Linked DNA regions of Ovis aries. The protein of the gene in region 1 purifies or fractionates together with the protein of each later gene. This does not show direct contact. Links are inferred from orthologs where the notes say so. Each region holds a gene or a part of one and is shown on either strand. Other genes may lie near its edges.

What was found. The genes of interacting proteins can lie anywhere in the genome.
Region 2: the proteins of PINK1 (region 1) and VIM purify together in Homo sapiens (affinity purification with mass spectrometry; 3 studies listed by BioGRID and IntAct, with this or other methods). This does not show direct contact. The link is inferred for Ovis aries from reciprocal best matches to the Homo sapiens genes PINK1 and VIM.

Annotation. Positions count from the first base shown.
Region 1 is NC_056055.1:245,720,352-245,723,920, forward strand, and holds part of PINK1 (serine/threonine-protein kinase PINK1, mitochondrial), read right to left. Parts: intron 2,369-3,569; coding exon 2,186-2,368; intron 1,671-2,185; coding exon 1,507-1,670; intron 1-1,506. UniProt on the Homo sapiens protein: Serine/threonine-protein kinase which acts as a sensor of mitochondrial damage and protects against mitochondrial dysfunction during cellular stress.
Region 2 is NC_056066.1:31,054,736-31,058,925, reverse strand, and holds the start of VIM (vimentin), read right to left. Parts: upstream 2,801-4,190; 5' UTR 2,654-2,800; coding exon 2,091-2,653; intron 1,451-2,090; coding exon 1,390-1,450; intron 1-1,389. UniProt on the Homo sapiens protein: Vimentins are class-III intermediate filaments found in various non-epithelial cells, especially mesenchymal cells. Vimentin is attached to the nucleus, endoplasmic reticulum, and mitochondria, either laterally or terminally.

The DNA of each region.
Region 1 (3,569 bases):
TTATGGCAGAAAGTGAAGAAGAACTAAAGAGCCTTTTGATGAAGGAAGAGAGTGAAAAAGCTACCTTAAAACTCAACATTCAGAACTAAGATCATGGCATCTGGTTCCATCACTTCATGCAAACAGAGGGGAAACAATGGAAACCGTGACAGGCTTTATTTTCTTGGGCTTCAAAATCACTGCAGATGGTGACTGCAGCTATGCAATTAAAAGACGCTTGCTTCTTGGAAGAACAGCTATGACAAACCCAGAGAGGATATTAAAAAGCAGAGATATTACTTTGCCAACAAATGTCCATATAGTCAAAGCTATGGTTTTTCCAGTAGTCGTATGAATGTGAGAGTTGGACCATAAAGAAGGCTGAACACCGAAGAATTGATGCTTTTGAACTGTGGTGTTGGAGAGGACTCGTTAGAGTCCCTTGGACTGCAAGGAGATCCAGCCAGTCAATCTTAAAGGAAATCAATCCTGAATATTCACTGGAAGGACTGATGCTGAAGCTCCAATACTTTGGCCACCTGATGCGAAGAACTGACTCCTTAGAAAAGACCCTGATGCTGGGAAAGATTGAAGGTGGGAGGAGAAGGGGATGACAGAGGATGAGATGGTGGGATGGCATCACCGACTGGATGGAGTCTGAGTAAGCTCCTGGCGTTGGTGATGGACAGGGAGGCCTGGTGTGCTGCAGTCCATGGGGTCACAGAGTCGGACACGACTGAGCGACTGAGCAGCAACAAAAGCCACTCTCAGGACAGGCTGACCCAGGAACACAGGCCAGCAAGGCCTGGACAGCTGCCCACTCACCAGAGAGCTGAGTGGGACCAACAACACAGACACGGACATGCCTCCGGGAAGTCAAGGTCCCCTAGCCAAGAACTGGATAAAATCGGTGCATTATCAATTAGTTATCCAGAAAAGGATTCATGCAGACTTCCTTTAAAAGCCAGTTCCTCTAGAATTTAATTGCATATTGAATTATCTTAAATCTTTTTAGTTCAAAATTGACCACATGAGAATCCTCCTGTATTGCAAGGGACAGAAGTTTGATCCCTGGGTCAAGAAGATCCCCTGAAGAAGGGAAAGGCAACCCACTCCAGTATTCTTGCCTGGGAAATCCTATGGACAGAGGAGCCTGGTGGGCTACAGTCCAAGGGGTTGCAAAGAGTCAGACACGAGTTAGTGACTAAACAACAAGAACAAAACAATGACTCTCCTTTACAGAACCCCTAGGCAAGTAGCCACCCAGCTTTACTTGAATGCTTCCAATGATGGGGAGCTCACTGCCAAAGGCAGCTGGGCTGACATTCAAGCAGTACTTGCTGAAAATATTCTTACAATACAAAGACCAAAGCCCTCCATCTTGAAGGAGAGAGTGCTTATCTCTGTGTGCAGAGCTAAGACACAACTTAGAACATAAAAACCAGAAAAGACCCGAAGGCCCCTAAATGTCCTCAAACCTGAAGTCCAGACGGCCCCGAACAACTCAGAGCAGGGCGGGGCAGCTACCTGCGTCCAGTTCCACAAGGATGTTGTCGGACTTCAGGTCTCTGTGCGCGACGCCCTGCTGGACCAGGTGATCCACTGCTTCCAAGAGCTGCAGAGTCATCACAGTGGCCAGCCGGGGGCTTGGGGTGTTCCCGCGAAGGTACTGGCGCAGGGTACAGGGGTAGCTGGTGGAGAGCGCAACAGGGCCAGTTACCGCGCACCTAGCATCCCGAGCACCTTACTTCCTGTTAGGATGATGGCCTTTCTTCTGATTCCTTTTCTCCCTAAGTAGCCATTCTGTTTCTATCCACCATCCTGGAATTAGGAAGTAAGAGCTAGGGCCTCACACGTTAGAAGTTACAGGACAGCTACTTGTTTTCTTAAAACACTCACACAGCAATGCCAGGGGCACAGAGATGGAGGAAAGGAGAAGAGTCTATGTTTAAAAAAAAAAGGCAGGAGAAAGGTGAGCACAGAGGGGGCTACTAAGGTACTAAGGGCACTAGATGGGGAGTATGTCCTGACTGAGCATGCCCTTCTGTTTTCCTGGAAGGCTGTCCCAAAGGGAAACTGCGCTCCAGGGCAGACATATGCCCTCAGCCTGCCCTTGTCTCCCAAAGAGAGAGGGTCCTCTCGCCCGTGACCCCAGGCTCCTGGAGGCAGCGACCAGCTCCCACTCACTCCGGGTCCCGCCACTCACTTCTTCATGACAAGGAAGAGAGTCCGCCCGTGGCCCAGGCCTGCGGGGTGAAGACAGGGGGGCAGCACATCTGGGTAGTCGACCAGGGCTCCTGGCAGCAGCGGCACCGACGAGGTGAAGGCTCGCAAGACCCGGATGATGTTGGGATGCGGGGCCAGCTGCTTGGGACCTCCCTTGGGTCTTCTGTTTCAGCCGGGTGGGACAAACGTGAGGGAGCAGCAGATACGACACTTGGGATACAATAGTCTGAGGCCACAATCAACACTGACATTCATCTCCACCCATATCTACACCAAGTGTGTGCCAGGTGCAGAGTTGGGTGCTGGAAGGGAAACCCGCGATGACTCATCACATTGGTGACCCCACCATCCATCCACCGTCCATCCATCCCACGAGGTAGAGCATGGGGCCTGGAAGCGGGCTGCCGGGGGCTGAACCCCACGCCTGCCACTCCAAGTCCCTGGCCACACTGCTCAACGTCTCTTGGCTCAGTCTCAAATGAAAAGGGGAATAGAGTAGTACCATACCCTGTAAGGCGGTTAATAGGACCCGGAATCTCCCTGATCCGGCCCTAGCATAACACCTGGCATGAGCTCAGTCAGCCTCTGAGTGAACCGACACGGAGGCAGTGTGTAGAAGTGATTCCCCCGCGCGTCAGGTGCCCTGCCCAGGCCTCTGCTGCTCCGGGAGCCCCACCCCACTGCCCTGCTCAGAAACAGAGGCTGCACTCGGCCGCCATGCCCGGGGCTGTGCGCACCTGACCCAAGGGCAACCAAGGGCCTGCAGTCATGTCCGAGACCCGGTGGTTGGCAGGAAAAAGGGAGAGTCTCTCTGTGGAGTGTGAGGAAAAATTCAGCAGTAACTGCACAGGAAAGGGGGCCGAGGTGTTGAAAGGATGCTTTAACGCCGCTTGAGCTCCTCTCTGAACAGTGCCTGATGCACATCTCCTGAGCTGTTTTACAGATGTAAAAACCCCCACCAAATGAAGATGCTAACCACCTGATGGTCATAAGCAGGTAGCCCGCAGACCTCCCGGAGCCTGAGGACTGAAGCTGTTAACCACTGCGACACTGCCCTGTCACCTCACCAACTACCAGGGATGTGTACATGAGCCAATCACATACCCTGGGGCCCCCCCCTCCCTTACGCGCTCTTTAAAAATGCTTTGCTGAAACTCTTTGGGGAATTTGATGTTTGGGGGCCATGAGCCACCTGTCGCCTTCCATGGTCCTGCAATAAACCTTTCTCTGTTCCAAACTCTGACATTTTGGTATCGTTTGGCCTCACTGTATGTCAGGCACAGGAGTTTGCTTTTGGTAACAATGCCACGAGGCCTGAGGGAAGCCGGAAGTATATCTGCGGGCAGGAAATGAGATAGCACGGT
Region 2 (4,190 bases), on another chromosome or scaffold:
TATCACCTTCATGGAAAAGTAAATGAGAAAGGGGTGATAATAAAATGATCAGTCTTGGGAAAAAGAATCATTTTTGCTTGTTGTTAATCATTGCAAAAGATAATATCCTATTCTCAATTTTCAAAAGTTCTATGTGTTATTATACTTCTTTGAAGAGAATATGAGTGGTTTTATCTAATCCCTAAATAGGAGGAACAATTTATACTAATATTATTTTATATGAAGTTACTACCGGGGAAGAAAACATTACAGACATGATGATCAGAAATGCTCAATGACTGAAATAAACCACACATTTCTGTGTTTAACTTGATAAATACATTTCTGCTTCAAAAAGTATTCTAGACTATTTGCTTGAGGGAGCTTTTAGAGCCAGTCCCAGTGAGGGTTCAGGAGAATAAAACTGCTGGCAACTAATCTTCTTTGGGATCCAACTTTAAGTTAAAAATCCTTAAAGGCCATCTATCTTTGGAGCAAGAAAACCATTTTTCTTAAAATCCTATCCTTCATTTTTAGCTTTATTCTTTATGGAGAAAATGCTAAAGAATACAAGGATTCAAAAAAGGAAGGCCTTTCCAAATGTGAGGTAGGACTGCAGCTTTAAGAACTTTTCACATCACATACTTCCAGTCTGGGCCAGATATTAGATAACGGGGGTGTTAGCAAATACTTGTGTCCAATTAGAACAGTGCTTGCATCATTACATATTCAATAAGAATGTAGCCTGTTGCAAAGCGTCTCCAGGAACACAAAGACTCCTATTCTTTCTGACCAGAGCCACCACACTTGCCAGAATGTCTGTATCTACATTCCATAGTGAAGTCCGTAGAAACCATTAATACCTTTCAGCCAAGGGGACAGATGGCTCCTTTTCATCCTTATTAGATCACAAATTAGTTGTGCATAGCGATACTTCTGTCTAACCTTGGGGCCACAATAGAACTTGCCGGCAAGAAAATAAAATTTCTGGCTCCACTAAGTTTCTTATCCTCCCATCCATTTCACATCTAAAACTACAGGGCAGAATTGTGCTTTTTGTGGCCTTGTAAAAGGTAGTCAACTTTGGCAAAACCGCAACCTAAATCAAACTGTAACTCTTCAAAATCAAAATATCAACGTGTTGCAAACACGAAACGGAAAAAAAAATGATTTCTTGGGAAAAGAATCTTGAAACAAATTAAAAAATGTTAAAGACCATGTCCTACGGAACGGTTTAATCATTCAAGGGCTTTTATCCAGAACTGCGGTCTCTCTGCCACTAGGGGGCTTGGCGCGCAGACGTGAAGTTTTGTATGATTCAGACTTGGGTTAAGAAACTTTTAGAATTGCTCGTGGGTTGGGCGGGAGGGTGGCGTCCCGTGGCTTCGAGTAGGAACGGAATCTACCAACCTGTCTGAAAGACTGCAGAGTGCTCTCGGCTTCCTCTCTCTGAAGCATCTCCTCCTGCAACCTGAAACAGTTTCAGATTAACCACAGGGGAACCGGGAAACCGCCAGGGGCGGGGCGACCACACCCAAACACCCAGTCGTGGCGCAGAGACCCAAGGGTTGCTGCGCCACCTCCGCGCTCAATTAGCGACCGCGGCTTAGACCTGCTGTCCTAGGCAAGTTTAAGCGGGACCTTGGCCTCTGCGTGGAAAAGCAATCACTGTCGCCACCCCGACCTGCGAGACGCCCGCCACCACCTCACCGCGGAGACTCTACAATCCCTTTGTCTCGCTCTCTCCACGGCCCGTTGGCTGGCAGCCAGCCAGAGGGGGACAGGAAACTTTCTCAAAGTTTGGGGAAATCGCGTTCATCCTTTTCTAGGGCCTTAGCAGCAGCAGCAGCAGCAGAGTACACAGTGGTAGTTTTTAAAAGTCTGCAACTTGAAACGTGCGTTCTTGGGCAATGAGTCGGGGTAGAGGGAAAATGCTAACTTGGAAGATTCTGGTTCAGGGCGGGGCCCGCACCGCTTAAGCCACAACCCTGCTCCCCCGCTGTCCCCCACCCCCACCCCCGGCAGCCGCCGCCCGGGCCACATCCCCAAGGGCGTGGCAGCTCCGGTATCCACTTCATCCCTCCCTCAGCCCCGCGTGGGCGCCGCCTTACTTCTCCCGGAGCCTCATGATGTCTTCGGCCAGGTTGTCGCGCTCCACCTCGACGCGGGCCTTGTCGTTGGTGAGCTGGTCCACCTGCCGGCGCAGCTCTCGCATCTCCTCCTCGTAGAGGTCCCCCAGGCGCGACTTGCCCTGTCCCTTGAGCTGCTCGAGCTCAGCCAGCAGGATCTTGTTCTGCTGCTCCAGGAAGCGCACCTTGTCGATGTAGTTGGCGAAGCGGTCATTGAGCTCCTGCAGCTCCACCTTCTCGTTGGTGCGGGTGTTCTTGAACTCGGTGTTGATGGCGTCGGCCAACGAGAAGTCCACCGAGTCCTGCAGCAGCCGCACGCCGGGCACGCCGCTCCGCAGGCGCACAGCCGAGGAGCGCGTGGCGTACACGCCACCCGGGGACGAGGTGTAGAGGGTGCGGCTGGTGGAGGGGCGCAGCGCACTGCCCAGGCTGTAGGTGCGGGTGGACGTGGTCACGTAGCTCCGGGTGGAGCTCGGCCGGCTCGCGGTGCCTGGGCCGCCGAACATCCTGCGGTAGGAGGACGAGGACACGGACCTGGTGGACATGGCTGCAGAGGGTGGCGGTGGACTGGGCGACTGCGGTAGCACGGACTGGCTCCGGGAGAAGAGGCGAGCGCGAGGGCGCGGTGGGTGTGGGCAGAGGGAGCGGTGCTGCGTCTCTGGCGCGGGGAGCCCGGAGCGAGAGTGGCAGAGGACCGGACCCCGCGCGGGGCGCAGTTTTTATAACCGCGTTAGGTAAGAGGGTTCCCTCCCACTGCCATCCCGGCGACGGAGTGCGCCAGCCAATGGGGAAGGCTGGGCGGGGGGTTGGGGCGGGGGCGCCCCGGAGCCGTCCTCCTCCCCCATCTTCCCCAACGGGGACTGAGCACAGCCCCGTTACTTCTTAGCTGGGCTGGGACTTTCAGGGGCTTTCCTGATGGTGGCCCGAGCTCTGCTCACCTCTGGGTGCTGATAAAGGAGGGGTCGCGCAGTGGTGCAGGGGGAACCCGCCAGGACTGGACCAGAGGGGTCCCGGGCTCCGCGCCAAAGAGCTGTAGGAGGAGGCGCGCGGGTGGGAGGGGCGCGCCGCAGCTGGGTTGCGCTTTACTGGGAGAGAGAGGATGCGGAGCCCCGCGGGCCAAGAAGCAGGAGGAGGGGGAGTGCAGGATCCCGCAGAACTGGAGGCGTGGAGAAAGAAACAAAGAGGGCCTGAGATTAGAGCGCGAGGTGGGGGCGCGCACAGCTCTGGACGCAGGGCTTGGGCCCCGCGCAGGAGTGTGTGCACAGCCCGCTTCGAAAGAGGATCTGATGCGGACCCCGTCTCTCTTCGTCCTCTTGTCTTGGGAATTCCTGTTCAGGGACCTAACGGACTGGGTCCCCTTTGGACGGTGCGCGCTTCGAGGCGGCGGCCGAGGAAAGCCTGGGGGAGAAGGGTGGGGTCGCTGAGTCACTGGCACTGAGTCACTGCACCCGGCTGTCCCGCCGAAGGCTCCTAGCGGTACAGGGAAACCGTTAGACGAGATTGACTCCAGCCTCCCCGGGCCTGCGCGCACAGTTTGTCGAAGTTTAACACAACTTCGAGCTGGGCCTCAGCTTTCTCGTGGGCAGTTCGCCTGCGTGAAGACTAGCGCGCGCCTGAGTTCTTAAGAACCCGACAAAGCCAGATTTTGCTCCGATATGCAGGCTTCTCTGTAGTAAGAAACTTCTGCACACATTCTATAAGCGCCGAACGCGGGTCTGGGGCATCACAAATGCACTCCGGGGAGGTTCTTGCCAAGTTCCCCCTCACTCTTCTCCCTGGTCCCCTCTCGGCCTCCCCCTCCCCCCATAAAACCACACCCGACTTTTAACAGGATCTGGAAGTTTGGGGTGAAGGAGGAAGCTCTGCGTCCGCAGCTGCACAATCAAATTGATCTCTGGTTTTTCTGCTGTTGCGGAAGTCATTCAAGGTATAAACCTGCGCTAATTATAAGAATGAATTAGGTGATACTTTAAATGTTTAATTTGGTGAATGAAAGGCAGTTAGTTGATTAAATGATTAGTTAGAAAGGCAGCTAGTTAGCCTCAGATGATAGAATGTTTGCAGGGACTGATGCATTCTGCA